Linked DNA regions of Drosophila melanogaster. Changing the gene in region 4 together with the main gene of any one other region gives a genetic interaction. Each region holds a gene or a part of one and is shown on either strand. Other genes may lie near its edges.

Region 1 (9,843 bases), on a different chromosome or scaffold from region 4:
CTGTCTACTCGCTAATGATCGAGTGCTGGCATGAGCAGTCAGTAAAACGTCCAACATTCACAGATATTTCGAACCGTCTCAAAACTTGGCACGAGGGCCACTTTAAGGCCAGTAATCCAGAAATGTAAACATAAGATTTTACACATACATATGTATTTTCAACGAAATGGACTGTAAAATAAGTAGGTTTAAGAATTTAATAAAACGAATGATATCGAAAACCCGAAGAGTGTTGAGATGTTTTGGGAAAGAACCAATTGATTTTCGATTAAATTACCTTTTTTGTAACTTTATTAAGTGAGATTTGTTCGTAATAACCATATGGTATTTAAATGTTTTGTTGTGCCAATCGGAAAATTCTTTTATCCAGTAGCAATGCCCAGGGCAACGCCACCGAAAAATGATGCCAAAAATATGTGCAGATCGTTGACTTTTGGACCCTCTTCATCGCCAATCAGTTTGGTGTACCATTTCGCCACTTTCTTGCCGTTTCGGGTTAGGAGGCTTTCAGCTCTGTCTAATTGATTGTCGACATATCTTTCGGTCTGCAAATTGAGTTCAGCATAAATATAGTAAGCATATAGATAAACGGTTTAAATGAATTATACCTTATCCTTCCAGTTCTTCTCACGACCCAGCGAGGCTTCCACTTTATCGGCGAGCTTATCCACGCTCTTATCCAACTTAGACCAATTTATTTTTATAAGTCCTTCTTGGTGGGCGATTTCGAGCAAGATTATGCTGCCGCCAACTGCAAAGGCAGCAAATTTGCCTATTTTCATTGTCGTATATCCTGTGACCCTGAAAAAATTGTTATATTTTTAGTAAGATAAGATACACAAATTCCAGCAAATTCTATGGATTTCCTTAAATTTGCAACTCATCATTTGGCGCATATACATGTATAGTAAATTGCCGAGTTATCTAGCTTATCTTGTGCAAATTATATCAGTTTTATCTGATTAATAACTCATTTTATTACACTATTTAGTTCTTTTCCTTTTTAGGGAGGTCCTATATTTCTGTATCCCGCAAACAAACAACATTCATTTATACACGTATTTAGAAGTACATATTTGCAATAGATGGAGCGGCTAAGCATTCAGTTGTATATTTTAATTAAAAACGTATTCTGCAGTTATCTACCAGCTATTACCGAAAGTATGCAAAAAATCAATTTACTTCAAATTCCAAAGACAATCGGCATTGCTAAAAATTTAAGTGATGCGCCGCAATGATATAACCACATACCATCCTGATGAAACGCCAATAAGCATCTGCGAATATGCTGAACGTTGGCCAATATCGTTAAAAACTTTCTTAAAAATTTCCGAATAATTAGTCATTTTTAAAATTAGATGTCGACGTTAAGATGCGAAATTCTGACCGCCCAGTTTACGTCAATTTAACACAATAATATATGCCCGTCAAGATAGCGTCAATTTGGACAACATTTTTGTGTTGGGTTTATTGGAACTCGGAAGTGGAACATATGTTAGGGGAATTATGGGAAAAAGAGTAAGAAAAATAACTGGTAGCACTTAACGTAGAAACTGGAATAATCATACTTTGAATATTTATTATTAATCTGATAATTACCTTTGTGAATCCTGTATGCTTTGCACAACAATTGGCAAATTTCAAGAACCTCTTATTATTTATTTATCTTAGCTATTGCCTCATTTGAAACTATTAGTTAAATTCCAATAAAATATGAGATATCCATTTAATCGCTGCACTTTTCGTGTCGAAAACTAGTTTCGAGATCAAAACTATAAATTTAAGTATTTTTTTCTAAACGTCAATTATTTCTCCCCCCTTACTTTAGACAAAAACCCAAAGTTCGAATGAAATCTACAATACAAAATGTACATGAGTTTATTTAAAATAATTGTTAAAACTACTTAAATAAATATCATACAGTATATTTACAAATTCGAATAGATTAGCCAATTACTTAGCAATTTTAATTACTTTGCTAAATCACCAAGAATTATAAGTCCGTAATAAGCATTGATTACAGGTATGTTGATTCACCTGGAAATAAAGAAAAATATTCATTTATTAGTTTAGATTTTTTTGCTCAAACAAGCTTAATGAATTTATTAACTAAAACTCAACGAGAATACGATAAAAATCAAAATAGCATGAATGAATTAAAAGCAGAAGACTTTTGATGATGATGAAACACACAAAAGACACATTCTGCTTCAGGATATTTAGTTTTCAACAGCAACAGTGAAATAGTCGAATTAGTCGAAGTTCGACAGTTCGGTGCTAGTTTTGTTAAATGAATTGAGTAGAAGGACAATGGCAGTGCCCAGAGTCACATACTTATGAAGCGGTGAGGGATGTGTGATGAAAATCGATGCGGATACTGATTAAGGATTGCCGGTTAGTTGACCATTCGAGCCGCAGGCATGGGCTCCCACTCACTCACCTATGTACATTAAATTCTAAACAGATGTGCAGAGCGCAGCTGTAATCGATCGTTTCCCCGTGAAAGGAAGTGGATCTGTGTAAGCCTGTCTCTGCTAGTATACTCGTAAAAGTCTTGGGGACATATAAATCCAGTTCTGGTGGCTTCGTTTTATACATCAAAATTAAGAGATCGTTCAGCCAGAAGTCTTTTAAATCGTCTCGGGTGATTATTCTGGCGAATTCAATAAGTCAATAAGAATATAAATGTGTGGACGATAGCATATGTCGATAAAGGCTATCTCTTTTAACAAATCTTAATTTGAATACTCATACAATACAATTAATTACAAAATCAAACCGATAATGGTCCAGAAATCAATTGAATCGAAACTCTTAGTATTAAATAAATGTGAAATTAGAACAATTGTTCGGTATTACTCGATTAAAACGGATAGATTTTTAGTGAGATCTGGTCATTGAGAGTATAGTGTGCAGCAAACTCACCGGATTCCCAATCTTCCTCGCCATCTTCGGTACCACAGTTGAATTTTGGAGAGGATTGTTTACATGTGATGTATGAATTGTAATTGATGTTCTTATTTTCGTTTATACTTCGAGTGTCAGAGGTGATATGAACTTCACTATTCTGCCATTTGATTAAATCAGTTTTCTTAATGGACGGTTGATTAAATATATGATTTCGTTTTATTTCCTCTTTTGTGGAATCATTCAAGCTTGGTAAAAGAGTTTTGCTATTAGGCTGTTTGCGTTTGCACGCAGTCGAAGTATTTTTTGAATTGGTTGATGTGTCGTATTGAATTTTAGTCTACGAATATTAGATTTATAGATTAAGCATATTGATCGGCGCAAAACGTGTTTTCACTTACAACTATATCCTTATGATCCAACGTTTCTATTGTTTGACTTTTCGTTGTATTATCATTGACGATCGCAGTTAAGACTTTTTTTTCGGCATAGCAGTTTGGAGACAAACTGTCATAGTCTGATCTTTCGAAATTTAAAACATTTTCGTTTCTCTCTTTTTCGGACGCTTCAGCTTGAACATCATTGCTAAAATTCTCTGCCTCAAAAACGATTGAAATCTGAAAAGAGAGCAAGCACATTTATTTGGTAATTTCGCAGCATCTATTAAAATGCTTCGAAATATCCTACCTTGAATTCTTCTGAAAATCTTTTATGTTCACTGTCTTTATGTACATCATCGATTTCTGATTTGCTTAAAGTGTGTATATATTTGTTAACTGTTCCATCGGACTCGCAAGCTAAAGAGAATGTTTAATTAAATCGTTTATTTAATGCATGTGCGATATTAAGTATACTTACGTGAATAGTTTCGTACAAAAAACGTATTTAGCCAAAAGTGACAAATGATTTTATCTGGGGATTTTTTTGTGAGTTCAAATTTTACATCGCCGGAAACTGGTATTGATGGTTTAATGGTCAAAACAAATGATTTTTGAAAATCAATCGGCAAGGTTTTCAGTCTCTGCAATTATAAAAAAAAGAAGAATGTTACTGCTGGTTAGAAAGGTATTCGAAAAGGAACACTTTACTGCACTGAAATCGTGTGAAATATACATTTTTAAAATGCTGTCTATAGTCTATCAATGATGTATCTATATACTTTATATACTTACATCTGGCTTTGCATTTTCTGTGGCTGAGTCGTGTAATACAGATATTGAACATTCTACCATGCCTAAGTTTTGCACACAACTGGACTCCGAGAAGCGTATTTCACATACCTGAGATACAAAAAATGCATATTTAGATTTTGTACGGCGCTGAATGTGGCGCTGCTGCTGGAAATACTCACGTTAAGGCTTACTTTCGAATATGGAACACTTGAACAAACTAGTTTGGAAAAATACTGAACATATCGACGCTGAGATGGGATTGTCACACCTTTTCGGTCCTTTGTACGCTTCTCATCATACCACGCTAATGCCTCGTCGGCGGATTTTTTAATTCCACTGAACACTAAATATGCGCAGATCATGGTACCTGAAATGAAAAAAAACTGGGTTAGTTTTTTAGCCCTACAAATATCGAAACAAGATCATAGTGTGCCATGATATTTATGAACTTTCGCACAAAATGTTGAACACATTTCCTACCGGTTCTGCCCTTTCCAGCTTTACAGTGCACGGCTACAACATTGGACGAATCTTCCTTGAGCCACATATCAACATCACTGCAAAATCGTTGTATTAACTCAATCGTTGGAGGGTTATGATCATCGAACGGATAAACAGCTACTCTCTGTAATGCGAAATAGTATATTTTACATATTTTACGCCGACAAATAGAAAAAGTTCAACAAAATTACCCCGCGAAATTTAGCAACGTCGTAACTACGCTCCGAGCATAGGTTATAGATTTTGTAATGCTGGGCATGATTCTCTTCCAATAGCTTAAAGACATCTTCCAGACGGTTTCTGAATAGGCCCTCTAGTTTATCCGGTGCTGGATAGCCCATGGCAATTATGTTATCATTAATGTCTGTGGGTAAATAGATAATTTAATTTAATATTCCAATGATTGCGGTTGATTCAATAACTTACATGTTAAATCCAAATCGTATCCTTTTTCTTTGTATCGTATACGTTTTTTACTCACTACATTGCGTATCACGTTGGACATTAACGAAATAGTGTTGGCCATATTTTTAAGGTTTAAAGACTTGTCTTTTTTATTTAAATTAGATTAGCTGCATCCATTCAAATGTATTTGGGAACCAGTGCTTGTCTTCTATTTACTCCATTGCAAAGTGTACGTTCTGAAAGGAATGTAAAGCATATTAATTAATATGCATATGATTCTAACTAATCTGTTTATTTTCCACAGCAAGTTAGAAAAGTATTGACTCAATTCAGCTTAGTTTTCTACTGCGAATTCAAACCTAAATCCTTTAACAGCAGACAAGTTTCTAATATGGTCAATAGAAACTGCTTAATTATACTGTGCCAAGGCATTCTAAAGGGATATATGGAACTAATATAATGGGCTTGTTTTCTCCCGATCCACTTAGGTTGTTCTATATAAACTAATACTTCTTACTCGGCTAAGATATATTCCTGTTTGCAGTTCTTGCTTGGATACATATTTAAGCACGTACATACACATACAGACAGAGGTGCACTCTCTATAGGAATAGTTCCCTACTTGTTTTCCCAGGAACAGGTAAAGAGTTAACTTCAGTTCGGTTTATATATCCACAAATATCCTTAGCACAAACATGCACACACTCACACACACTCGCACATGCACACGCACATATGTACATACACACACACACACACACAGGCAGGCATTTGCGGCACACACGTGAAACATACTTACATGTATCGGCATATTATCAAAGATAAACAATATAACAATCTTCCGCTTGGCATAATACATTCAGATTGGTTGTCAAATGGTCCTGGTTTTAATTGTAACTGGCTAACAGAACAGAGTTCTTTTATTGAAGCCCAACGCACGGCGATTTCGATACGAATTCGAGCAATTAAATGGGTTCGTTGGCTGAGGGGGCGATTTTCGAGGGGTGAAAATCAAAATCAAAATCCGTTTTAGAAACACCGAGCAGTAATTTCGAATTACTTAACATAGCGACTGATTTGGCAACTGTTTTTTGTTTTATCTCGCCGAGTAGACACACTTTTTTGACAAACTGTTTGCGAATGGTGGTATGTATTGTAGTTAGAGCACATATGCATGTACAGAAATATGCAGATATGGATGATGGGCATGTGCACATATATGCACCGATTTTTGTGCATTTATGTACATATTTGTTTAAACAAAAACATATTTACAATTCCACAGACATTTTACACATTTACACTATCAGCACCACACGAATATATGTGCCCACTGTTTAATACATATGTATGTATGTGCATATGGGTATGTTTAAGTCAATAAGCTAAATGTTCCAACCGAGCAGGTTCTGGCTACTGCATTTCAAAAAGCTATCACATGTTTTGCTCTAAGCCACGAAATTTCAAATAAAACTTTTCAATTATGTGTAAAAGTTAAACAGTAGCGCTCATGCTCTATTAAATGTATTATTAATTTATCAAGCGTGAGATCCACAGGGTGTTTACGGCGAGCGATACCACCACAAGATTTGAGAAAATGTACATCCAGTGCTATCGACGTGCGTGGTGCCCTCTCGATTAAATTGTGTATGCAAAAACTATCGATGGGTCATCGATACAACCATTTATTTTTTAGCACTGCGGTTTTAAACAATATGTAATTATCTATGCATTTATTTTAATCTTATTAAACAACACACATATAACTTCATGCTACCAAAAACATGACTACCAACACATCTTTTACTCGAGTTCTACCCACGAAACTAATATTGCTACAGCTATTAAAAATTCCATTTCTTGCAAAACCAATATTATTTTTGGTATGCAATTTTTTAAAACGCAAACATTTTTAAGATTTACGAATACCTTTTATTTATTTTTTTTTCCAGCCATTGAAATGCTATTGAAAACTATCAGTTTGGGTAATACCATTAATGTAATCCTCTCTTTTTTTATTTACAATCGATAAAAGTGCAACAGGTTTTTTATGGGTATTCGATTATTTTGACATAAATATGATTGGAATTTAAAGTTCCTTTATTCAAAAGCAAAACCTGCTATCTGAATAATTTAAAATTTTAAAAAATTTTCAAAACTTTAAAAATTACACTCGTATCTTAAGGCTAGTTGGTTTCCGCAAAATGAATTCTTGGTACCACTTAATTCTCAACTGTTGACTTTAATTCGTAACTTGAATAAATCAAAATAGGCCAATCATCAGTAAATGTTATTGAAGCAAAAAGGACTCGAAGACGAAGAAATAAAAACAAGTGTTTTGCCGTGTTAACCAATTTCTCATTTATTTGTCTCGCTTTTTATTTGTTTAAAAAGTTTCTGCAGTCCATCGTTTAAATATTTAATAGCCCCTTGGGCTAACTAACTAATCGTCGTTATCATAAGTATTGCTTAGCTATGTTTTGAACTTTAAGCAATCTAATAAATCTGAAAGTGACGTTAAGAGATACTCCAACAAATGACCTGTTAATTTAGTTAAATGAAATAAAACATAAACATTAAAACCGATGCGCTTAATATAGTTGCTTGCAGCATTGGCTAGATTTTTGCCGTTTCGACCCAACTACAATAAGTTATAGATTTGTATAGTATTTGTCTTAATAGGTAAAAAGTTAGATCGATGGATAGTACACATGCAATATTTCTTACCAAAACGTAAAGTCAATGATTTGTTTGTAAACACTTGGCGGTTATTGCTTTTTAGGTTTTCGAGATTCAGAAAACAAAGCAGATTTTCGAAAACGCTTTCTTACCAGTTTCGGACTGCTGACTGCTTCATTTCGTAGGGTTTATTACGATGGTTATAAGAGGTTCTGTAAAAATGAACACCTACACAATTCCGAGTTCTCAAAATTCTTTAATGTTTTAGACCAATTATTTTGCGAAAGCTTTTATGTATACGAGAAACTGTTCCGCATTTCCTTTATTAAAATTGCGTACTTCTAGATTTTGGTTTGACGTTGTTCGAGTCTTAGCGTATTTTTCTTACTAGTTTTCTACGTTATAACTTAAATTTTACGTGCTTGCAATTGTCATGTTAATGGGTATTCGTTAAATAAATAATGAAGAGACGACGACTATCAGTTTTTTGTTTTTTCTTTTTTTTTTATCATTCTGTTGTTGTTGTTGATGTGGGGGAATGAGGGAATCTGTTGGACGATCGAAAACGATCGAATGCTACGATTTTAAATGTTTGAGTCTGCGTTTTACGGTCGCGCTTAAGTTATTATTTATTAATCTTTACTCATAGGCAATCCTTAAGCAACTATGAGTGGTGTTGTCATTAGAATCGATGGTTTCCCACCGGCGAGCGGGACCTGAAGCGTCCGGCCGACTGACCACCAGTGCGTCCGTAGCTGGCGCTACTTCCGCTGCTGTAGCGGCTGCTGTCGCGTCCACCGCCGTAAACCTCGCGGCGATTGAAGCCGCTGCCGCCGCCCTCTCTGCCATTATAGCTGCTTGCACCTGATCGGCCGGAGCTATAGCCCCGCTCCGTGTGCCGGCTTGAGGATCCGCTGGATCCGCGCTGCCGGAAACCGCCTCCGCCGCTACCACCGCTTGTGATGCTGTGCCGGCCAAAGTCGCCGCGTCGTCCGCCCCTGTCCATGGGTCCGCCACGCCTACCCTGGCGTGGCCGCCCTTTTGAGATCTCCACGCGCAGCTGGGAGCCGAGCAGCTCGGATCCGTTCAGTATGTCGCACGCCTTTTCGGCGTCGTCGCGGTGCTCGAACTCGACGAACGCAAATCCCGGCGGATTGAAGGCTATCCACACCGAATTCAGCTTGCCATACTTTGTGAACTCCCCCTCCAGATCATCCTTTTTCACTTTGTCGGTCAGATTGCCGACATACACCCGTGTCCCGCGCTGATCACCCATGCTGGACATCTGGATTCACTGTTTCTGATTCGTTTTCGGAGTTATCCTGCAAATCGGATAGCTGCCTTGAAAAATAAATAATCAATAAGTTATCACCACCGGACAATTTAGCGTTTGTATCTATATCAACTTTTCGACCAGGGTGGTTAAACTCGTTGCAAAAATGCTAATTTTCAAAAATATCCTCGCATTTGGAACACTGAGAATGGACGTGTGTTGGGATGTATTTATAGTTTAACGGCCCCGTAAAAAGGGACTTCCCGCTGCTCTAGTGACTTGTATTTTTAATTATTTTTATACTTTGTGCTGGGAAATGTATCATGGTAATCTGAATAATACGTCAATTTAATTTATATAATTTTATAAATATTTGTATGATCTTTAGTAAAGTAAATAAAGTAAAACAATATATAAAATGTTTGTTAATATATAGCCGTGTACTTTTATATTTTCTTCAAACCCCAAATAATGAATAATTATATTGAACATTTATTAATTATTATTTAATTAATTTATAATTTAACTATTATCATAATTTAACTATTTAAATATAATGACTATTATCATTTTAAGTCATTAAAAGAAAATTTGTTACGATTTAAACTTTATTTATATTTTTGTTCTTAAATATAAAATACAAATAGTTCCCTTAATGTGTTCCATTCCATCGTTTCTGTTAAGATATATTTCGATTGGCACCTTTGTGTGTAGTGGTTTTGTTTATTGTTACCTTGAGTATTTACGAAAGACGCATAATAACAAAGAGTTGCAAAGTTGTTGTATTATTTGAGAGTTATAATGGCTGATATGGAGATACAGAGCAACAAAATGTCAATAACGGAGGAAACACAAGTGGTAATATATTATTAAATATAAAAGATGTGGTCTTTTTGTTTGAACATG
Region 2 (7,267 bases), 7.5 Mb from region 4:
AATATGTATGCGCCTATGCACTAGTATTTGTGCCAGTTTTCATTGCATAACGCTAGGTAACCTGGCACTTTTCCTTTTGTGCTCCGTGAAAAGCACAGAGTTCACTATTTTCATATTTCTGTTATTTTCTTTTACCCACTTGCGTTTCGCTCTCGAATTTCCGGTAATGAAAACCCGGTGCAACAGCAGCACCTTCCTCTTGAGTCAAAGTTTTTCCCGTCTTGAGTTTTCCCACCCGCCATGTCAGGTGCCATTTATACTCCAAGTTTTTCTCCAGAGGAATACTCGTACAAATTAAAAACATTGCAATAACTTTTTATATAGTGCATATATAAACATGCATAAAATAACTAGAAGTTAAAATAAATATTTTTTAAGAATATTGAATAAGGGTGAAATATGGAAAAAAAAAGAGCACAGTTAAATAAACTCGAAACAAGCACGTAATATTAAACTGAGTCACTAGTCAAAAAATTATACTTTAGTCTTTAAATCTCACTGAAAATATAAATATGTACATTTCATTTATCATCTGCATTCGTTAAATTGAACATCTAAATTTGCATGTCAACAGTCCAGCAAGACTGAATCACATAAATTTTTAAAGCTCCACCCATTTTCTCCAGCTGAACATTTATTTGCGGCGTTGCACTAAATTTTTGGATCATTGTGCCACTAATAAGAATCAATGAGTGTGTTGTGGGGTTAGAAGGGGGTGTGGCATATGGGAGGAGGTGGAGCAAACAAATTGGAGCAGTAGAAACCCAATTCCATTCGTAATAGCCTGTCAACAGGGCGCATTGTTGTTCATTTCGCTGTTATTATTTCTATTGTAAATTGATATCGCGAAACGAGTTGCGAAAAAAATGAGAGGAAAAGCGAGCTTTTCGATTGCCCTGCACTTCAAGTGCTCGATGTGTAATAATGGTTTAGCCAAAAACTTATGCGGAAAACCAAACTGCAAATTATCCCCAAAACCGATTGTTTTCATTTGGCGAACTTGTCGCTTGTGTAAACAGAATCGAAATGCCATCGTCTCCTTTCTAGATGTGTGGCATCATAAATTCCCTTGACAACCAAATACCTCGGTGTGAAAATAAATAAAAAAAAAACCGAAGTAAAAAGCAGGGGGAACGAAAGAGTGTAAATTGCATGGTGGATTGAAACCGAAACCATGGGCTTTGGACTCATGGCATGACGCATCTCATGGATGGAACATGGAGAAAAGATACAGAAAGCAGAACGGAACGGGCTCTAAAAAACAAAAACGAGACACAATCAGATGGCAAAATGAGTAGAGGGCCACAAAACCAGATGTGGGCAAACATAAATAAATAAATAAATAACACATTCGAAACTAATCCGAATAATCAATGCAAGCGCGTGGCTGCTTATCGAATAAATTGAAGTGAGGCAAAATGAATCAAGTCCCAATATCAGTCTGATGAGCAAGAATAAGCATAATCTCAACAGTCTTACGCTTTGATGACTAATAATGATTGCCTGAGTTTACAGAAAAACAAGACTTTAGTCAACATAAAACGTTATTAACAAAAGCCAACCAAAAAACTGCACATATTGTTTAAAACCTAAGCATTCAAATTAAGCGAGTCAAAAACCATTCAAATGTCGTGCAGAATTGTGGTGCACATTATAGACATATTGATTTCATTGTGCGCTGTCAAACCAAGTTATCAATATGCCAAAGCAAATTAATTAACAATTCTCTCATTTTCTACAAATTAAAATCTATAAATTACGATATACTTAATATCGAATTTCAAAAGTGCACAAACTAATTGAATTCCCATCTTTTATGAGCAATGTGAAATTTAATCAATTTCAATTTCGTCAAAATTAATCGAATGGAAAACGTTCGAAAAGCTGATGATTTATAGATTTTGGGTTGCCAACTAGAATGCAATAAATCGAATTGGGGAAATCCCTCGAATTCAAAGGCATTCCATATGGAAAATGAGGAACTTAACCCTTGGTCTGCACATGAGAAATACCATAATATCTCCCCCGATATATTCCCATATAATCCCGCCCCTGGCAACAACAATTGCAACGTGCCACGCCCCCCCGCCCAAGGGCAACTTCTCTGGCGTTTCGGGGCATTTGTCATACTTCCCTTCGACGGGCAGCAAGAGTAAACATGGAAGTTGGATGGTATAAAAAGAACGATCCAACAGAGAAGAAGATGGAAAACTAAAATTGCGCATATTTTTGTTTGTGGCGGGGCGAGGGGTTTGGGGGAAGGGGGTGCTGAAAGGGATGTGGAGTGAAGGGGGGGTGGGGGTAGTGAAGGAATGAGAAACATGCTGTGGCAAACAGATGTACAAATGAGGGTCTGCAAGTGGGTGGCGGTGGGGAGATCGAGGGGGTACATGCACTCTTGCACTGGAGCAAAAAAACATTCCTCCTTTATGATTTAATGCGTTCTACATTTTAACGCACATACAATTTTATTATTTATGTGGCGTGGTGAGCAATAATGATACTCCACATTGAGATATGTAACTAAATTCATTTTCTATAAATGCATAACGGACTAGAACTAGTTTTACCATATGGAACACATTCAACTTTAAAATTTATTCTTGATTATGTGTCCAAAAATTATCCAATAAGAACATTATTCCTAGGTTTTGCAATCCAATGAGGCAATAGTGTTACATAATGTGTGATGTCTCTTTATTGAACAGAAAACTTCCTGATACAATTCAAAGTGAATTAATCGAATTTGAGAACTGTTGGATAATTTTTTCCTGTGCAGACGGAATGCAAAAATTGCAGTGAGGGAAACTATAAAAACTTACGGATTTTTGGGGAAACATTCTAAATCCAAAGAGCACACTTTGCAATTTCTTTGCCTTTTGTTTGCTGTTGTTTTTATTTAGAAGTTTTTGCCTTTCCCTTCCTAATACCACTTTGTACTACAGCTAAAGGCTTCTATTTCGACTCACCTTATAGACGTCGCCGTAGGTTCCCGAGCCAATCTTTTGGATGAGTTCGTACTCGTCCTGCGGATTTCGGCGAGAGATGTCCGAGCTGAGCATATTGGCATTGTGGTGACTGTGGGCGGCGGCCATCTTGGCAGCTTCCGTATCCGTATGCCGTTGCCGTTTCCGCTTCCGCTTCCGCTTTCGGTTCGAGGCGATCGAGTCCTTTTGGCTGGACCTCTCTTTACTGGGTGGGTATACTCTTAATATTTGATTGACACTCTTACTCTTGACGCTGCTTTATTCGTTTTTTGGGTTTGACTGATTAGCACACGTAGCAGGCGAAATTTAGATACTTTTGTGGATCGAGATGCATTTTGGACGCTTTGAAATACACACAATTACGTAAGGTTAACTGGACTTTTGTATATTATGTATTAAACATATACATTTATTTCATATGAATCAGATTCTGATCAGAGAATTGAATTGATACACACACGAAACTAGAGAATCGCGAATTATGACGCAGAATAAAAAAAAAAGCGATGAAAACAAAAATCAGCAAATAAAGCAGCAACAACAAATTTGATAAAGGCCAGGGTGGAGAAGAAGGTGGAGAAAGCGCGGGGGTGGGAGCGAGAGGGCAAGTGAACGATGTCTCGTTTTTTGTAATCCCCTCTCTCGTTCGCGCTCTCTCTCTTCCACTGCATATATTCTTTATCTTCTCGTCTCCTCTTCCTTGCTTCTCAATGCATTTGCACTTTAATTACTTTTTATTAGAATTTATGAAGGCCACTTTTGTTTTTGCCAGCGAAATTGCCTAAATAAATAAATAGTTGCTGTGCTGCCGAGTAAAAAAACACGCGACAACAAAAACAACAACGCGAGGCGTGTCGCTTTGTCGCCCGTTCGTGGTGTTGTTGTTGCTGGTGTAAATACTACGTTTATTATTTTTTTTTTATAATTTTATTCCGATTTTCGCTAAGCGCTAGGTGAGCACCACAAACCGTTCACATATTACACCGACACGTGATTGCGGGGCAAATTCGGCCAGTGGATAATTAACAATTGTCCTACGAACACGAAAAATTTCACATGCACTTCGTCAACGCGCAGCCCACAAATGTTGTTGTTCCTCTCACCCCTCGCTAGCGATGGCACTCTGCCCGCGGGCCTATCGATAGCAGCGCTGGTCGTTCGGCGGTGGCAACTCTGTCGGGCTGTCGTTTCGAAGATATCGATATTAGTTGGCCAGAAGGGGTGGCCAGACAGGGGAAATTTTTAAACTGCTGAAGGACATTCGAAATTCAATAAAATGAATCATTGAATCCACATGAAAGTACATTTAGTAGCAGCGTTAAAGGAATACATTAGTTAAAGCTCTCAAATCTACTTCAATGTTTCTTTAGTTATTAATTAGAATGTCATACAAATGATTTGTCACTGTATTGCCAATCAGCAATGTTTTATAGGAACTTCCCCTTAATCTTTCCTACGTTACTAAGACCTAAATCAGCCACAAACTGGGAAAACTCCTTTGTGCAGACCGCCGTTCCCAACAACAACAATTGGATCCTAAACTCGAAACAAGTGAAATGTTTAATATCTACACGCAAACTACTGCCAACTGCTTTCCGAAAAATATCCGGTATTATTAGTGATCACAACTTTATTGATTCACCGAATTTGTTGTTTAATTTAAAAAAAAAACCCTAATTCACTTTTATTTTGTACAATTATTATTCGTGTTTGTAGAAAATACAAAATATCAAAGGGCTCGAGCACGTTGACACGGAGAAATGGGTTAAAAACGAATCCAAAGAACTTATTGCACATGTGTGTGTTCGCGTGAGTGTATAAATAAATAACGTAAAATGTATCGAGATGTTCCATAGCAGAAGAAGATGGTTAGCACAGCTCCTTCCTTCACTTCTATGTAACTAGGGTATTATTTCGATTAAGGTTTCTCGGCTTGGGGCTGTCTGGCTTGGATTCCAGGGTATTCCCCATATTCACAGCTTCCGTATGCTGCGATCTGCCGCCGCTGAATTGAGTTTAGTTCTGTGAAAATAAGAGAAAAACGAACGTTAGATATATCTAGACAAGTGCAATATCAATGGTTAACAATTGGAAAACAAGCTTCAAACAGTATTAGGCCGAATCTGAACGAATTAACTGAACAATCCTCAGAAGGAATTGCATTAGTATGGATCGCAGTGCGATCAAAACCGAACGAGAGTGTTAATTTAGTACACAACACAGTGGAGCAGAACGAGGAATTTCATGCGAATGCGTTGCCAGCTTACCCCGATTTTCCAGCTGCCAAAGGGTCAACTGGAAAATGCGCGAACCACACAAAACTGCAGCAGAACGGATCTAGAACCCTGGAGTTTTTTCTATTTTTTGTTTGGTCAAATCGAAGGAGGATTGTGTAGGTTCTTTTTTAACTATATATATGTATATATATGGCGTCAGAATGAACTCGCACATCGCTTGGATAGCACTTAAGAATGGTATTTAACTGGCTTTAAAGATGCTGTGCTGTGGCTGAGACCTTTCTACTCCTCACTGGCCATCCTGTGTCCGTGTGGGTGGTTTGGTTGTATTTCGTGTGAGGGATGCGATGAGAAAAAGAGCTCGAATTAGTGCCCAGAAGTTATATTACACATAATGAAACAGCGTGGCCAAGCGAGGTGACAGTGCGATTGGGTATGGGAGGATGCTAGCGGAAGCCGGAAAACGAAGCCGAATTTTCCATTTCTGACGCCAATTCAGTGGAGTGAGTAAATCAAAAATTGCTCTTGGTAAATATCAAACTGCATTTGGCGGATTCAAGTTGTTTACAAAAGAATAAGTATTCAGATAGTTGGATTGGTCACAAAATAAGGATTTAGTTAACTAGGTTTATATCTCTCTCTGTGAGTACCGGAAATGACGTTCTGTTTTATTTATTTTTTGTTTCATTGGGTGGGTGTGCGTATTCGTGTGTTGTGTTGTGTGTGTGTGTGGAAAGAGAAAAATAAAACGAAATCAATAAATTAGTATTGGGTATTGGTTAGGAGTTTGTAATTCCCTCAAATATCAAAATCGGGCAGAGAAAAGGATGAAAAGCTGACGGAGATTCAGGTACACTTACAGTTCCATGGAGAGCACCGTGGGATTGGGACATGCTTGTGGTGCCCGTATGTGGCACTGCTTGTGACTAATCAGCTGGCAGTCGCGACACTCGTAGCCCTGCTTTCCGGGCCTCCGCGGGATGGACTTCATACAGATGGAGCACTGCAGACCGCTTCTGGAATGTGAAAGGATTCGTTAATTATATTCAAAGCAACTAATGCTTACTACTTTAAACTTACCCGCTCAAATGCTTGGCGATGAAGGTGTGATCGTTGTAGATGTGCAGCTTGGTGCCCTTGCGACGCCAGCGCGGTCTCTGGGCGATGGCCAAAGGCACAATGAAGTGGCTAAAGATCATGCACATGAAGCAGTTCCATCAGAATCCATAAAATGCAAACACTCGATCGAAACTCACCGCTTTATGCCATTCTCGATGGTCTCCAGCACCAGGGTGGAGGCCTCGTGCACGTAGGTTTTATTGCTAGCCGAGGAAAAGCCTGAGATGGCCGAGGATTCTGAAATTGAGGAGCGACGTGAGTGGTCGGTGATGGAGTGACCAATGCCCATGCGTGGTCCTGCGTTTTATTAATTTTAGTGTGTGTTTGTTTTTGTTTTTTTTTTATGTGGCAAGTTGAGAGTGGCACACAAACCAAGCACCCGTTAGGACCCATCAAATCATATTTTGCACATATGAAAATAAACAAAAGAAAAGAATAGGAGAGGAGTATGAGAAATAATCACAACCAAAATCGAATCAGAGATTATAAAAAGAAAAATTCAAAAGCCAAATTCCAAAAATAAACCCAAATATTTACAAAAAATATTCCAAAAATATTCAACCGTGTTAAGTTTTTGTTGAAATAGGTGTTTCATGTGCGTGTATCGGAACCATGAAATACATACAGATTCGTGTTGTGGATCACAGTTCAGTTAGCAGTTGATGGGTATTGTGTTAAGGGAGAGAAGATAAAACAGACAACAGATGTAGATACAAGTACAGATACAGATTACCAAACAGTTAATTTACAAGCTTTGAATGGTACAATATCTTGGGGTACTTAAACTTTAAGGGAGAAAAGCAATTTACACTTAGTACTAAAGTTATTCATGAAATAAGATGTGATGTATGAAAAATAATGATTTTGTGATTTGAATCATGGCTTATAACTACTACTTATAAGGCTGAAGCCTGAATAATAAAG
Region 3 (6,876 bases), 1.2 Mb from region 4:
CTCCAATAGCCATATGTCCACAAATATTTCCGGGGACAGAGAAACACTCTTTGTCTAGCGGCTCGCACATAACCTAAACTTTGCGGTCTTTTATCTGATCATTTACCGATTCTATTCACTTCCTGTCTCTTCCCCTATTGGTTATTTCAATGGTGCATTCGAGTGCACTCGACTTACCAGCTAGATCTTGCCCTTTTAATACACAAACGAATTGATTTCACGAGCGTCGTGTACTATTGCACATGCCACCAGCGCGGTGCAGTCTAGAGGATTTCTATCGCGGCTATCGATATATATCGATTGTTCCATGTGTGCTTCAGGGTGGCGCATTTCTGATTTTGTGACGTCACATGTCCAGCATCCTATGAATTAAGTTGCGCTTAGCTAGTGCTGAAAAATAATATTAGTAAATAAGGAGTATAGTATAGTATAAGAGTTAGTAAGTGCAGAATAATCTCAAAAATAATGAGCATAAGAAAATCTACAGAAGTGCCGTAGTTGAGAAGCTTAAAAAACAAAAGCATCTGTAGCATTTCTCAACATCTGGTGAAGCATTCTTAGTTTAATTACAATACTCTGTATGTTTTAAACATATATAAACGATAGTATATAATTTACAGAAAATGCGCCATAGTGTGGTACGTGTCAAATAAAATTTAAACGCAATAATGTTTAAGCCGAGTTTAATGTAGTCTGTAAATGTACCACTTTCTAAAAAAATTAGTTACACCACCATCGATAATTACAGCTGCGTTCCGATAGCAGTCAGCAGGCACATCTCTGTTAATTTATAGCAAAAAAAAAAAACAAATATTCAGAAAAACAACATTCAATTGTTTGTTTTGATCAAATAGCAACGTAATCCAGAGGTAATTAGTCATCCAAAGAGCATAATTTGAATAATGGGAAGATAGTAGGTCACGTCAAAGAAAATTATAATAGTGTGGTTTCCCGGTAATTTCGAGAAGCTGGCAATTTCCAAAAGTGAGTCACCACTTTTCCTACACCGAGCTGCTGTGTATGTATTATTTGCGCTGGTGGTGCTCCGGCTGAACTAATTTAATAGCTGCGACTACGTTAAAGCGCTTAAGCTCGCAGTTCAGCGTGTAGGTAAGGTTCATAAATGGCCCCAGCTATTTTCAGAGAACCCACACAAGAAAGCTTGAGAGGTACACGTCATGGGGGCCACAACAAACGAAACGGTGCCGAAGTTTCTCAGGCATTACTATAGTGGCAAATTGATTGATAATTAAAGTTGCATGCCACCAAAGGTGTGCACATTTCTTAGACACTAATTAAATTAGCTAATGATTGCTTATCATCGTGTCTTTGCAGGTAAAACAACAACGAAACAATGCAAGGTGAGTGGAATAAGGACAAGCCGTACTAACACATTCTTTTTGGATCTAAGTTTACTCCACAGCGGTTTCGGAATTACATAGAAATCAGAGCGAAGTCCCTCGAGAATGTCCTGGCAAAGTGTTCCCCAGTATCCCCAATACCAAGGTTCAATCTTCTTAACTTCTAAGCGAGTGTTACAGCTTACCCGTTTTCTGATCGCATGCTTTTGTTCGTCCCGGGGCTTGTCGACCCGTTGAATGCTCAGTAATTGCCCAGAGCTGATTCATTTCCATTACCTCTCTCTCTTTACACATCGTACTTGTCCCTTCTTATCATGGTTGTATGTACATATTTGCTCGAGATTGTTTCTTGGTTTACCGCATCTCTTCGTCACGGCGAAGCGTTTCATTTAGATTTTACAGTTCTTGGTAGACAGATTGCTGTAGCGAACGCGTTGGTAGCACCGTTTTAGATGACAAACTAAAACGAGATGTCTTATTTCGCAGATCCCAACCAGCAGTACAACTATGGCGGCGGTAATCCCCCGCAGGGAGGATATGGTGGATATCCACCTCAGGGCGGCTATCCACCTCAAGGACCGCCGCAAGGCTACCCACCCTATGCACAAGGAGGTGCTCAACCCTATCCACAGCCCTACGGACAGGGGCCTCCACCGGGAGGTTATGCTCCCCAGCCGGGATTTATCCAACCACCACCATCTGCTGGCGGCTACGGAGCCTACGATGATCCGGAGAGCCAGCCCAAGAACTTCTCGTTTGACGACCAAAGCATCCGTCGCGGATTCATACGTAAGGTGTACCTGATTCTAATGGTGAGCTTTAGATAATTCTGCATAGAAGGCATGTACAATAAGTTATCATTTCTGTGTCATTAGGGACAACTAATCGTCACTTTTGGAGCTGTTGCCCTGTTTGTATACCACGAGGGCACTAAAACCTTTGCCAGGAATAACATGTGGCTCTTTTGGGTTGCCCTCGGCGTAATGTTAGTAACCATGCTGTCTATGGCTTGCTGCGAAAGTGTGCGCCGCCAAACACCGACGAACTTCATATTCTTGGGTCTGTTTACAGCAGCTCAGTCGTTCTTAATGGGAGTTTCCGCAACCAAATATGCTCCGAAAGAGGTGAGTACTTCGATTTAATTACGATATGTAGTAAAGTGATACGATATCTGTTTTCCAGGTTCTCATGGCGGTGGGCATAACAGCAGCGGTTTGCTTGGCCCTAACGATCTTCGCCTTGCAGACAAAGTACGACTTTACTATGATGGGCGGTATTTTGATCGCCTGCATGGTGGTGTTCCTGATCTTCGGCATCGTGGCCATCTTTGTAAAGGGAAAGATCATAACACTGGTGTACGCCTCGATTGGAGCGCTGCTCTTCTCCGTTTATCTCATCTACGACACACAGTTAATGATGGGCGGCGAGCACAAATACTCTATCAGTCCCGAGGAGTACATCTTTGCGGCACTAAACCTCTACCTGGACATCATCAATATCTTCATGTACATTCTGACTATAATCGGCGCATCGCGCGACTAAGTTCCGCTCTATTTCCAAATATTGTTTGCAGCTTAATCGGGTTATTCAGTAACCTGGAATACACGAATATTGTTGTCGCGTAATCTCATCGGTGTGCTCCCCCAGTGGAGGTAATCTTCAACTAACGAATTACTCAAATACTTACAAATCTATCTACTTCGTGTTGTGTTTGCCCATTTTCCCCGTTTCCTTCTAGTTCTAAATGTCAACTAAGGCTATATGAACTACTTACTTTTTGTTATGTATGTTTTATTGTTGCTTAAGTTGAGGCGCAAACCAAGTGGATATTTCCAAATTTAAAAATAAAAAAATTATATATATGTATGTATACCAAATGATATGCCATTCAGATAAACGAAACAACAATAAATAGTCACGTATAAACATATTTATGTAAAAATATACATATAAGCAAGTTGGCTTGCAGTTGTTAACACATAAAACTTAACCGTGTGTAATAACCAAGGAATCCCGATTTTCAACTATGAATCAAGTACCGAACATTGTAATCCCTGCAGCGACACTGAGTTTAAAGTCAACAATAAAGCGCATCTATTTATTAAAGCCACAGACCCCTGCATTGTAGGGCTTCCGTCAGTGGTTCATCCAGTTCAACCAGCCAGCCACCACCAGATGCAACTTTAGTCTGCGACTTCAGAGCGACGCCGTTGGTTGGATTACTTCTACACTCCAGACCATTATCGTCTGCATTTTTGCTTTATCATTGCTTAAGTTAACTTTGTTATCTGCACCACCACAGAAAGAAGTCCGGGTGTTTTAATTTCGGGTTGGCCCCATATCATGCGTTTGACCCGGCCACCTGTTCAGTAGTTCGTGTGAATTCCAGCAGGGCGTAGCTATAAAATGTATCACTACCAGCAAGGTAAGTACCGCCCGGATTGGGCTGAAACCAAACCAAATTGGCTACGGAAAGGTGCTTTAGATTAGATAATCGATTTGGCTATTGTATAAAGCTTATTGACTGCATCGTTTTCTCTCAGTAAGAGCCAACAAAATATATCTCTCTCGGCGCATTTTCATCTGATAAGACAGCTGAAAAGGTTTCGTTATGAGCCCAAAAACAGTGATTCACCCAATCGAAGGGAGAGTGAACAACCATTTTGAAATTGTATGGTGGCAATATCAGTTACTCACCGACATCAATACACAAATCTTATCTAGAGTAGAAGTGTGGGGCTGTGATAAGAGCCGGTAACCGGCTAATCTCAACTCATACGTCCATATGGGAACACCTAGAAAGGGCGATTCGGTTCCATTAAGCTGAAACACTAGCACGCTGCCGGCAGTCGGGCAAAGAGAGCACCGTAACTTAAGTGACTAAAGTTTAGTCATAGCAATTTAGCCATGAGCAGCGACAATCATTTTCAGTACGGTTAGTCATTGCATTAACTTTCCTGCTTCCTTGAATTGTCTTCCAACCACACAGGCGATGAAACTGGCGCATACACAGATGCGGAAGCGGACAAGAGCTTCGCCTTCGATGACCAGAGCATCCGGAAGGGATTTATTCGAAAGGTCTACTTGATATTGATGGTAAGTGCTGATATTTGAACTGAAAAAGAAAATATCAATTTAAATTGTCCAAAAATAAAGGTATTTGCTTCACTACTTGTCTGCTTTGGGTCACTTTAAAACTTCAAGATTTATTGACTTCCTGCAATCTAATTTTGATATCGCGCTCTATTTCTAGTGCCAATTGCTGATCACTTTCGGTTTTGTTAGCGTATTTACGTTCTCGAAAGCTTCGCAGGAATGGGTGCAAAAAAATCCGGCACTGTTTTGGATAGCCTTGGTAAGTTTTTACGACTTTTATGCTAAATATTGAATACAAATATATCCAATTTTTAAACTCAGGCCGTTCTTATCGTGACCATGATCTGTATGGCCTGCTGCGAAAGTGTACGCCGTAAGACGCCTCTTAACTTCATCTTTCTTTTCCTGTTCACCGTGGCGGAGTCGTTCCTTCTGGGTATGGTCGCCGGACAGTTTGAGGCTGATGAGGTCCTGATGGCAGTGGGAATTACGGCCGCGGTGGCCCTGGGACTCACCCTGTTTGCCCTGCAGACCAAATACGATTTTACGATGTGCGGAGGAGTGTTGGTGGCCTGTCTGGTGGTCTTCATCATTTTTGGTATAATCGCTATCTTCATACCGGGCAAGGTGATCGGACTGGTCTATGCCTCCTTGGGAGCATTGCTCTTCTCCGTTTACTTGGTGTACGATACCCAGTTGATGCTGGGTGGTAATCATAAGTACTCCATCAGTCCTGAGGAATACATCTTCGCCGCTCTAAACCTCTACCTGGACATTATTAACATCTTCATGTACATACTGACCATTATCGGATTGTCTCGCAATTAGACTGGTCATTATGATCCATAGCTTCTATTCCAGTTTTAGAAATGTAACTTAATTTTATGTGCCCAGTGCCACCTTAGCCGGAAAGAAATACAAGACGACTAACTAATCCAACATTGTCGAGTGCTCGCTTTGGTTTGGGATTTTGGCTGGGATTGGGGCGCGCTCAACTAGTTCGAACCTTGTCCACACCGCGGTGTCCAATTAATTAATGCGCACGAGAGGCCGTAATGTAATTATGTTCAATCAGCCCCTGCAGCGCCACCAGTTCCTGGACTGGATTGAATGTGGACAAGGTGATCGGCGCGATCGTCAGTTGCGCGAGCGTCTGGCTAACGGGCGGACATGGATTTCGACGAGGTGCTGCGGGAGGTGGGCTCCTTTGGTCTCTACCAGAAGGTCATCATCTGTTCCGTTCTATTGCCCGCCGCGCTGCCCTGTGCCTTCCACGCATATAGGTTGGTCATCCTTCTTTGGTATTCTATAATAATAATATTGAAAAAGAAATCTTAATGGGATTTTCACATCCATGCGATAGCATCATTTGGGGTCTACCTTTTCGCCTCTTAAAGGTACCTCATCAGAAAATTTTCATAATTATCTAAAATGATTATTTTCTAGCCAGTTGTTCATAGCGGCCACACCTCAGCACTTTTGTCGCGTTCCTGAGCTGGAGCCCTGGACGCAGGACTATGTGCAGCTTGTTAAGAACCTGAGCATTCCGCGTAATCGCAATGGAGCCTATGCCGAGTGTTCCATGTACTCGAGAAATTACACCGATATAGTGCGCTATCTTGAGTATCGACCTCCTCCGGATTTGTTGCGACAACAGGCAGAGGATTTGCTCAAGTTGCAGCCGGATACGACGCAGGTGGTGCCGTGCCAACATGGCTGGCACTACGACAAGTCCATATACTCAAGTACGGTGGTTCAAGAGGTGGGGATTTTCCAATTGGATATGGTATGTTAGAATTATTTCCTCATATATCTTGCAGTGGAACCTGGTGTGCGACCGCAGCTTCCTTGTGACTTTGGCGCTTGTGGTCTTCGGTGTTGGCGGATTGCTAGGTAACTATGTATTTGGATATCTAGTGGATCTGTGGGGCAGGCGGCCATCCTTTTACGCTTATCTGCTGCTCGAGATCATTGCCTGTGCGGCCAGTGCCTTTGCCTGGAACTATTACACTTGGTTGGGCCTGCGCTTTGTGGTGGGACTGACGGTGCCAGCTATTCTGGCGAGTCCCTATGTACTGGCCATTGAGCTGGTGGGACCGGAGAGGAGAGTTTTTTGCACCATCGTCTCGAATATCGCCTACTCCTTGGGCTTGGTGGTATTAGCCGGAGTTATCTATATCGTACGTGATTGGCGGGAACTCAGTTTGGCAGTGTCCATGCCTTTGCTGATGCTTTTCTCCTGCTTCTTCGTGCTTCCGGAATCACCACGATGGTTAATGGCCGTGGGAAAAACCAGGAGGGCCATTAAAATTCTCAAAGTAATGGCCAGAGTGAATGGTGTGCGCGTAAATCGGGATTTTGTGGAACGGTTGCAGCGAAAACTTGTCATCACAAGGGCTGCGGAAACCAAATCTTCAAT
Region 4 (7,344 bases):
GTTATTTGGTGCAATTTGTTGACGGTTTTCGTATATGATAATCCATCCATCTGGCTGGCTGACAGTTGGCGCTTAATGGGCATGAAAATCGCAGCCAATTAGCCGTTGATTTCAGCCGCTTTTGCTCGATGGGTGGCCAAAAGTCTAGAGTTACAAGTTAATTACCCATTGGGGCTTCAGGAGATACATACATACATAGGTATTTCGGAATTTGTTTGCTAGCTGGGTGGCATTGTGATAAAATGGTCATCGTGAGATTCTTCTAACTTAAATAGTTGAAAAAAAATAAATAAATAAACAAAGACTTTGTTGTGTGATTTTTTATATTTAAATATTCTATTACTACTTCCGTAACTTTTAACTAGTTCAAATACATTTCATTTGCAGTTTTTCGTGGCTGCCAAATGAAATTTGTTGCGCATTATATAAGCGATCATTAATATATTTTGAAATTAACTTTCCATAACGCAAACTGGCCTTTTAGCACTTTTCGTTGACCTAACCCAAGCGTAGATGCATTCCCACACAGCTGAGATCATCATTCACAGCTCGACGAGATGCCCCCAATTGCATCCCCATCTCCACTTTGGGGAATGTGGCGCGATGTTTTTACAGGCTTCGCCAGCGATGTTGGCTAATTAATAATCCCAACGCGTTCCGGCTCGAACACAAATAGATTTGGTGGGCCAATCGGGGTAGGGGGCGGAATCTTGGAGCTTGCAGGCGAGGCTACTTTGTCTTTGTCGCCTAAATGGCAGGCAAAATGTTTGCCGAACATAAATTAATGTCGTCCCCAACTGGCGCTTAAGTTCGTGTTCGATTTGGCCGCAATCCGTGTACTCCACTCTATAAAGTGCAGTCGATGTAAAGCTCCCCCAGTTGCCACTCATTTCTTTCGCCAAAGTGGCGGCTGCAATTTACACTCTTCATTCAGCATCCAAATCGGCCGAATGGGTATGGGGTCCAGTAAGTATGTGTGTGTGTGTGTGTGTGTGGACCTGGCCTTAACAATTTTGATGTCTGCTTAAATTACCGACTACTTAGTGCCCAGTTTAGCAATGCCTAATAAATATTTATGAGCGCACTTCATTTTAGCCAAGTTTCAATGGACAAGCAAAACGCAGTTCTATGAATGGATATCGATGTTCATGACTGGCAATCGTCGATTTCGCTGCTCATTAAAGGAGTCGGCACAACTCGAAAGGTTTTAAAAGGGAGCAGATCAAGTTAATTAAAACATTATACTTAATCAAAACGGGAGCAAGCAACTCATTTTTTTAGGTTTTATTTCAAAGTTCAGTGCAAGAAAAACGAGAATTTGGATAGAAAATCTTGAAGCTCAAACTAAACTCCTAAAAGATCAAATGTATAACGATTTATGATAATTGAATTGATGTATGTTCTATAGTAAGAAAGAAATTCTTTATATTAAAAAATCCAATAATTAAAAATGAAAAGAACTTCGAAAACCATAAATTTGAAAACATGTCATAATCGTATGTCATATTTCAAATGCAAGATTATATATAATACTTCTTAAACCACGAAACATAAAATGCTTAGAAAATGTATATATGTACATATATGATCTCTTTCTTGGTTAAGCAGTTAATAACTTTTATTATTTTTAATTTCATTTTTAATATGCCTGAACTTTAATTTGTATACCTGTATTTTCATAAAAATACAGCAATTTAAAGGAAATAAAATAGCCTTTTAACTTCTAGACAGCCTACCCATTTGATAACTTCTCCCTCGGCGATTCAACTTAACTATTTGCAAATTAATTGGATTACACAAGCTGTTATTTATTTATGCACAATTAGTGCAGTAAAACTGCTCTCTCAACACCCAATTATTAATGCTTTCCGATTGGCCGGATCACAAAAAATATAACTAAATCAACAACTCGGAATCGGCGAGTTGCGCGCACTCATTAGCAACTTTTATTAGCCAAAAGTGTCAAATGCTTTATCTCGGGCTTGGATTGGCCCAAACCGAGTTGCCTTAAAGCGTCGCCAGGCATTTCATTTCATTTCATTTTATTTGATTTCATTTTTTGTTTTGCCATTTTTTGCCAACCTTATTGGCCGCTCGACTCGTTTTTATGCGTTTTTAGCATTGTGCGCATGTTAACATTTGTGTTATTGATTTTTTACAACATTTGACAGTTACGCAGACTCCGTATTGGAATTTCGCATATCTTTTTGTATCTCTCAGTTTGTTTGCTTGAATCAAATTCGCGGAGCGCATGACAAGCGATTTGGAGCAATTTGACTTTCGACTGCTGATTGGTTAATCAAATGTGGGTTCATTAAATTGCCATTTTTTTTTTTTTTTTTACATTTAATTGCATATTTGATCGCCGGACCGAAGTGACAGCGCATAGTAATACTATATCATAAACGACACATAAAGTGCTTGCAAATAGCCGCAATCTTGCGGTTTTACTGCTTTTTGTTGTATTATTATTATTTCATTATTTTTTGTTGTATTATTTGTGGCCATTCGGCTTGAAATGAAAATGGGAAATTAGCAGACGGTAAAACGCCTCTGTTTGACATCGTTTGCAATTGGAAATTTACACCATCCTCAGACGTTACAGGTGGCAAACATTGTTCAGTTCATTAATTGTTGATTTTGCACTTTTTCAACCATTCAGCCGCCAATGTGCGTCATTCAAATCGAACGTGCACGGCGTTAAAGCCAAGTTAATATGGTCTAAAGGGAGGGGCAAGGGGGCGCAAGTGCTTTTCGCCAGTTAATTGCATTTACTTCTCGAGGCTTTGTGGCATCGGGGGCATGAAGTGATCTTGTTCGAAATCCCTAAAACATTTGCACTCATACTTGGAAAATGGGTGTTGCAATTGAGCATTTATTGGCATTTTTAAACATTAAATAAACACACTTTTGTGATGGAATTTGGTTTTTAAATATACCAGATAGTTACTTTTGAAATGAATTATGACATTCAAATCTTGAATATATGTACAACCTGTTAAAATATGCTTTCTGAAATTTATATGTACATGTTCGAAACTTTGCTATAGTTTCACATGCAAAATTTTAAACACTTTTGTATATACTCGAAACTGCTCTAAATGAAAATTTACTGGTAAGCTGTGGAAATTTATCGATCTAGCTTATAAGGAAAACAAAACTGCCTTTAAGAGTTTGATTTTATTTTTTAGCGACTAGAGTTCCACTTTATACGATTATAGATACACCCACAAAGTGTCACATTTACCATCGATATCTCTGAGATACAACACCCCCATATGTACATACACATGTACATATATCTATAATTTTCGCTTAAAAATCATAAACAATTTAACCGAATAGACCCGGTAAATCAAAGTGTCCAATGCCTTTGTCAATAAACATTTGTCGTTCCACTAATTGCCAGCGACCAACTTACAAACAAACAAACAAACAGAAAAGCATGAAAAAACAAGAAAGAAATAGCAGAAAAAAAACCAAAAATCATTTATGGCAAAGTCAATTGCGCTAGTGCTATCTCTTTCGCGCGATGTGGGTGGAAGCATTACGTTGATTATCCAGCAAAGCCAACAACAAAAGCAACAACAACACACTCACACACGCACACAGAAAACAACGAAATTTAATTAAATTAAACTTGCTGTTGGCCTGTTTCTCCTTCAGCTGCTACTTCTTTATTCCGGTTAAAAAAAAGGGCGTTCAACTCAAGGGTTTTATTTTGCAATTATTGATATTTATCCGTATCGCTTTTGACACTCATTTGTGTTTAAGTCTACGAAATGACCTTTATCTGTTTAAATTTTCATTATTTGTTACTTCCACATTTGTTTGCGGTTGTATTAAATTGCACATTTTCATTAGCCACAGGTGATATTTGCTCTTAATTGGCATTTAACACGTCGTCATTTTGTAAGGCTTATGTAGATTTTACATTTGCTATTTGAAAATTTATTGCTTACTGTGAAAAACAACTAATTTCTCCACATTTATTTACTAAAATACCACTCCCTTAATCGGCTTATCGCACATTTGGCATCGGATCGCATTGATACGGGATGTTTATCTTTGATTGTCGGATGCGCCATTTGTGCTGATAGTGATAATGGGTCATTTGCCATTATCTTTTTCAATTTCAGTTTACGATGGGCGAATAATAAGGCTGAACTGTTAGATTCCGGCTGAGCGGCATGGAAATTACTTAATTACTTATGCGGGGCGCGTTCTGGTTGGCAACGGAATCGGAATCAGGTTGCTGTATATTCACGGTCAGCTTTTGTCGTTCGAAGGTTTTCATTTTAAAGTAATCACCGGAAACCGCAAATAATTTATATTGTCAAATTTGTGTTAGTGCATTGGAAACCAACCGTTTATTTCCCAACGCAAGCTGAAACTTGAGAAGCGCGGCCGAAAAACGCTGCCGCAAACGTTCCGCACTCGTCGAAGGCTGAAAATGAATTGAACCGAAGTTGAAGTAAGCGAAAACCAAATCACAAAACAAATTAACCGCCTTATCGATATTTAATTATCGGTCGTCGATAGGTGTGTCCGTGCATATAAGGTGAATGTATCCCCTAAATGGCTGTGGCAACACTGAAAATAGTTTTCCCTTGTTTTGGTGTGGCCACACTGACTTTTGGCTTGCTATTGTTTACATTCAATTATTTCGACTTCTTATTTGTTGGTAAGTCAAACCGGCGGTTCCTTATCATTTGCCCGAAACTAAGCAAGAAGTAGGAGTGAGGTTAACAACTTAACGAACACTGTGATAACCTTTCCTTCGTATACAACTGAGAATGGCATTTCTTTGTTCTCGGAGGAAGAAGTAACTTTTTGGCAAGTTGAGCAAAACATTAAAATTCGTATCAGCCACTTGCTACGAAAGTAAATTACATTTTTACCAGGGATAAGTGAGAGGCTTTATAGTCTATCCCCCTATTCCGCAGCTACCAATATTCATAAAACAAAAAACAATCAAGAAGAATGCGCTTAGTCGAATGGCTCAACTATCAGATACCCGTTACTCTGTTCCCTAATACTAATATACCGTTTGTTCGTAGAATTATCGCCACCAGTTGGAAGGAAGCAACACCTGTTGATCATTTTTGAACTTTTCTACTTGTAGCTCTCCTACGCCTATTAAGCATATTTTTCGAGTAATATTCCTAATATTTGTATAATTACCTTATTTAAAATCCTAAACCTGAGTTACGTACTGATGTCCGGACCTGGTTAGACCACTTTGCCATTTGCTAATAATCAATAACTAAGATAGGTCCGGTTTAGAGTTTCTAATACCCTATAAATTAACAGTTAGAAAAATATTTAAAAACGGGGTCGAATAAAACTTAAAATTGTTTACCAAATAAAAATAAAAACATAAAACATTAAAGGGAAATTAAAAATAAAAGAACCTTAAAAAATTAATATATTGTATTGTAAAATTAAAAAACATTTTTAAACCGCTATTTGTAATACTAATTAAAATCTCCCATACAGGAGGATATACACAAGAAACAAAAAAAAAATATTAAAAAACCGAATCTCATTAGCCCAGTGGATTGGTCAGTTTCCCAGACTTTTTTGACATGGCTGATGATCCAGAAAACTCAGTGGATAGGCCCACAGACGACGGAGATGCCGGCAAACCGGAAAAAATGTTTACGCTGAAGAAATGGAACGCAGTTGCAATGTGGAGTTGGGATGTGGAATGCGATATCTGTGCCATTTGCCGTGTTCAAGTTATGGGTGAGCAATACCACTGATTTCAAAACTCTAATCTTGAGTATTAATAATAATAAAAGGTCCTACATATGTAACAATATGTAACTAGAATATTATTATACTGGTGTCTTTGTTAACACTATCTTGTGCATATCGCAAGCGAAAATGTTTTTTACTCACATATACATAAGTGCCTAAAAACTTTCAATTGGTGTATTTTTCAACGGTAATTTTGATTTATTGCGCTTGCCTAAAAATTCACAATTTAAGCACGAAGACACCACCCTACTATTTGGTTTGAACGCATCTCAGATCCTTAGCAACACGCCATTTACATGTTGAAAGGAAATGGCTTGATGTTGACCACCGAGGACATGGGCACACGGCCCATCATCTTTCGCTCAATTTCCTCCAACGACTTGCCCCGCGTTTCGGGCACAAAAATAATCACAAAGAACAGACCCACGATGCAGATGGCGCCGAATAGCCAGAAGGCTCCATGCGCGCCCATAGCAACTACACACAAAAATATTAAATATTATTACACCACTTATTTTAGTTAGTTGCACTACGCACCCGTGAGGTCCTGGAAGGTCTTGGTTACCACAAACGTGCAGAACCAGTTGAAAGCCGTGACCACCGATGCAGCCGGTCCTCGAATCTTGGCTGGCAGAATCTCACCCATCATCAGCCAGGGAATGGGTCCGAAGCCCAGGGAGAATCCCAGAATGTAGATAACGAAGCAAGTGAGTGGCAACCAACCCAAATGGGACACATCCGGACCATGCGCCTTGCAGTAGAAGAAGCCGCCCAGAATGGACAGGGTCACGATCATGGCGATGTCGGATACATACAGAAGAATCTAAAAATTACGATTAGTAAACAATGATTTTCATTTATATGCATCTTTAAACCCACCTTTCTGCCCAACCGATCAATCAGAATGATGCCCATAAACGTAGCAAAAAAGTTAACTACACCCACGATGATCGTGGAAAGATTGCTATCAATTGTGGATCCCGCATCCTTGAAGATCTGGACCGTGTAGAAAATAACCGCGTTGATACCGCTGAACTGTTGAAAGAACATCAGACCCAAGGAAATGGAAAGTGGCTTCAGATTGTTTCGCTTAAACAGCTCCAAACAGGTGTTCTGAGTGGCCTGACGATCGGCATCGGCCTGAGATTGCATCAACTCCTTTAGTTCGGGCTCCACATCCGCCTCCTTGCCACGCAGCCATTTCAAAGCCTTCCTGGCGCGCTCTTCCTGACCACGGTTCACAAACCAGCGCGGAGTTTCGGGGATAATGATCATCAAAATCAGGAAGGGAACGGGCAGAGCAGCTCCCAAGAAGGCCAGCATCGACCAATTCATAAAGGATCCCGCCACATAGCAAACCAGGATGCCTATGTTACCAAGAGCGGTGGGCAGCAAACCCAAAGTGCCCCGCACTTCCGGCTGCAAAGTCTCACCCAGGTAGACGGGCAGGGATAAAGAGGCAATGCCAACGCAGAATCCAGTTAGGAATCGTCCGCACAGAATCATGATCACATTCACAGCACACGCAATCAGCAGTGATGATACGATGAAGGGCACCGCAGTGGCCAGGATGGTGCTGCG

The links.
Region 1: of Buffy (region 4) and Pten, changing one suppresses a phenotype caused by changing the other (phenotypic suppression), as found in Drosophila melanogaster (one study listed by BioGRID).
Region 2: of Buffy (region 4) and hppy, changing one suppresses a phenotype caused by changing the other (phenotypic suppression), as found in Drosophila melanogaster (one study listed by BioGRID).
Region 3: of Buffy (region 4) and Lfg, changing one suppresses a phenotype caused by changing the other (phenotypic suppression), as found in Drosophila melanogaster (one study listed by BioGRID).

The regions. Positions count from the first base shown.
Region 1 is NT_033779.5:10,254,470-10,264,312, forward strand, and holds Pten (phosphatase and tensin homolog), read right to left. Parts: upstream 6,581-9,843; 5' UTR 6,385-6,580; exon of another isoform or gene 6,116-6,384; 5' UTR 5,785-6,115; intron 5,519-5,784; exon of another isoform or gene 5,222-5,518; 5' UTR 5,107-5,221; coding exon 5,007-5,106; intron 4,945-5,006; coding exon 4,772-4,944; intron 4,705-4,771; coding exon 4,560-4,704; intron 4,447-4,559; coding exon 4,259-4,446; intron 4,188-4,258; coding exon 4,080-4,187; intron 3,929-4,079; coding exon 3,766-3,928; intron 3,705-3,765; coding exon 3,595-3,704; intron 3,525-3,594; coding exon 3,309-3,524; intron 3,248-3,308; coding exon 2,926-3,247; intron 2,654-2,925; coding exon of another isoform or gene 2,649-2,653; exon of another isoform or gene 2,441-2,648; intron 2,038-2,440; coding exon 2,018-2,037; coding exon of another isoform or gene 1,984-2,017; 3' UTR 1,850-1,983; downstream 1-1,849. Other genes in the region: Ror, read left to right, coding at 1-128; CG5676 (uncharacterized protein), read right to left, coding at 363-545, 609-801, 1,252-1,346; Rsf1 (repressor splicing factor 1), read right to left, coding at 8,347-8,949; REPTOR-BP (REPTOR-binding partner), read left to right, coding at 9,739-9,795.
Region 2 is NT_033778.4:19,175,561-19,182,827, reverse strand, and holds the start of hppy (happyhour), read right to left. Parts: upstream 4,091-7,267; 5' UTR 3,956-4,090; intron 3,330-3,955; 5' UTR 3,096-3,329; coding exon 2,970-3,095; intron 1-2,969. Other genes in the region: CG10737 (uncharacterized protein), read right to left, coding at 5,839-5,887, 6,085-6,240, 6,305-6,412, 6,481-6,640.
Region 3 is NT_033778.4:12,873,682-12,880,557, reverse strand, and holds Lfg (lifeguard), read left to right. Parts: upstream 1-3,591; 5' UTR 3,592-3,767; coding exon 3,768-3,786; exon of another isoform or gene 3,787-4,268; coding exon of another isoform or gene 4,269-4,296; exon of another isoform or gene 4,297-4,350; coding exon 4,351-4,457; exon of another isoform or gene 4,458-4,476; intron 4,477-4,533; exon of another isoform or gene 4,534-4,614; coding exon 4,615-4,716; exon of another isoform or gene 4,717-4,778; coding exon 4,779-5,285; 3' UTR 5,286-5,394; downstream 5,395-6,876. Other genes in the region: Nmda1 (N-methyl-D-aspartate receptor-associated protein), read left to right, coding at 1,467-1,506, 1,848-2,173, 2,237-2,485, 2,544-2,903; Balat (Beta-alanine transporter), read left to right, coding at 5,628-5,740, 5,904-6,219, 6,278-6,876.
Region 4 is NT_033778.4:11,676,610-11,683,953, reverse strand, and holds the start of Buffy (buffy), read right to left. Parts: upstream 4,463-7,344; 5' UTR 4,368-4,462; intron 1-4,367. Other genes in the region: Tret1-2 (trehalose transporter 1-2), read right to left, coding at 6,056-6,240, 6,301-6,586, 6,643-7,344; Roc2 (regulator of cullins 2), read left to right, coding at 5,589-5,748.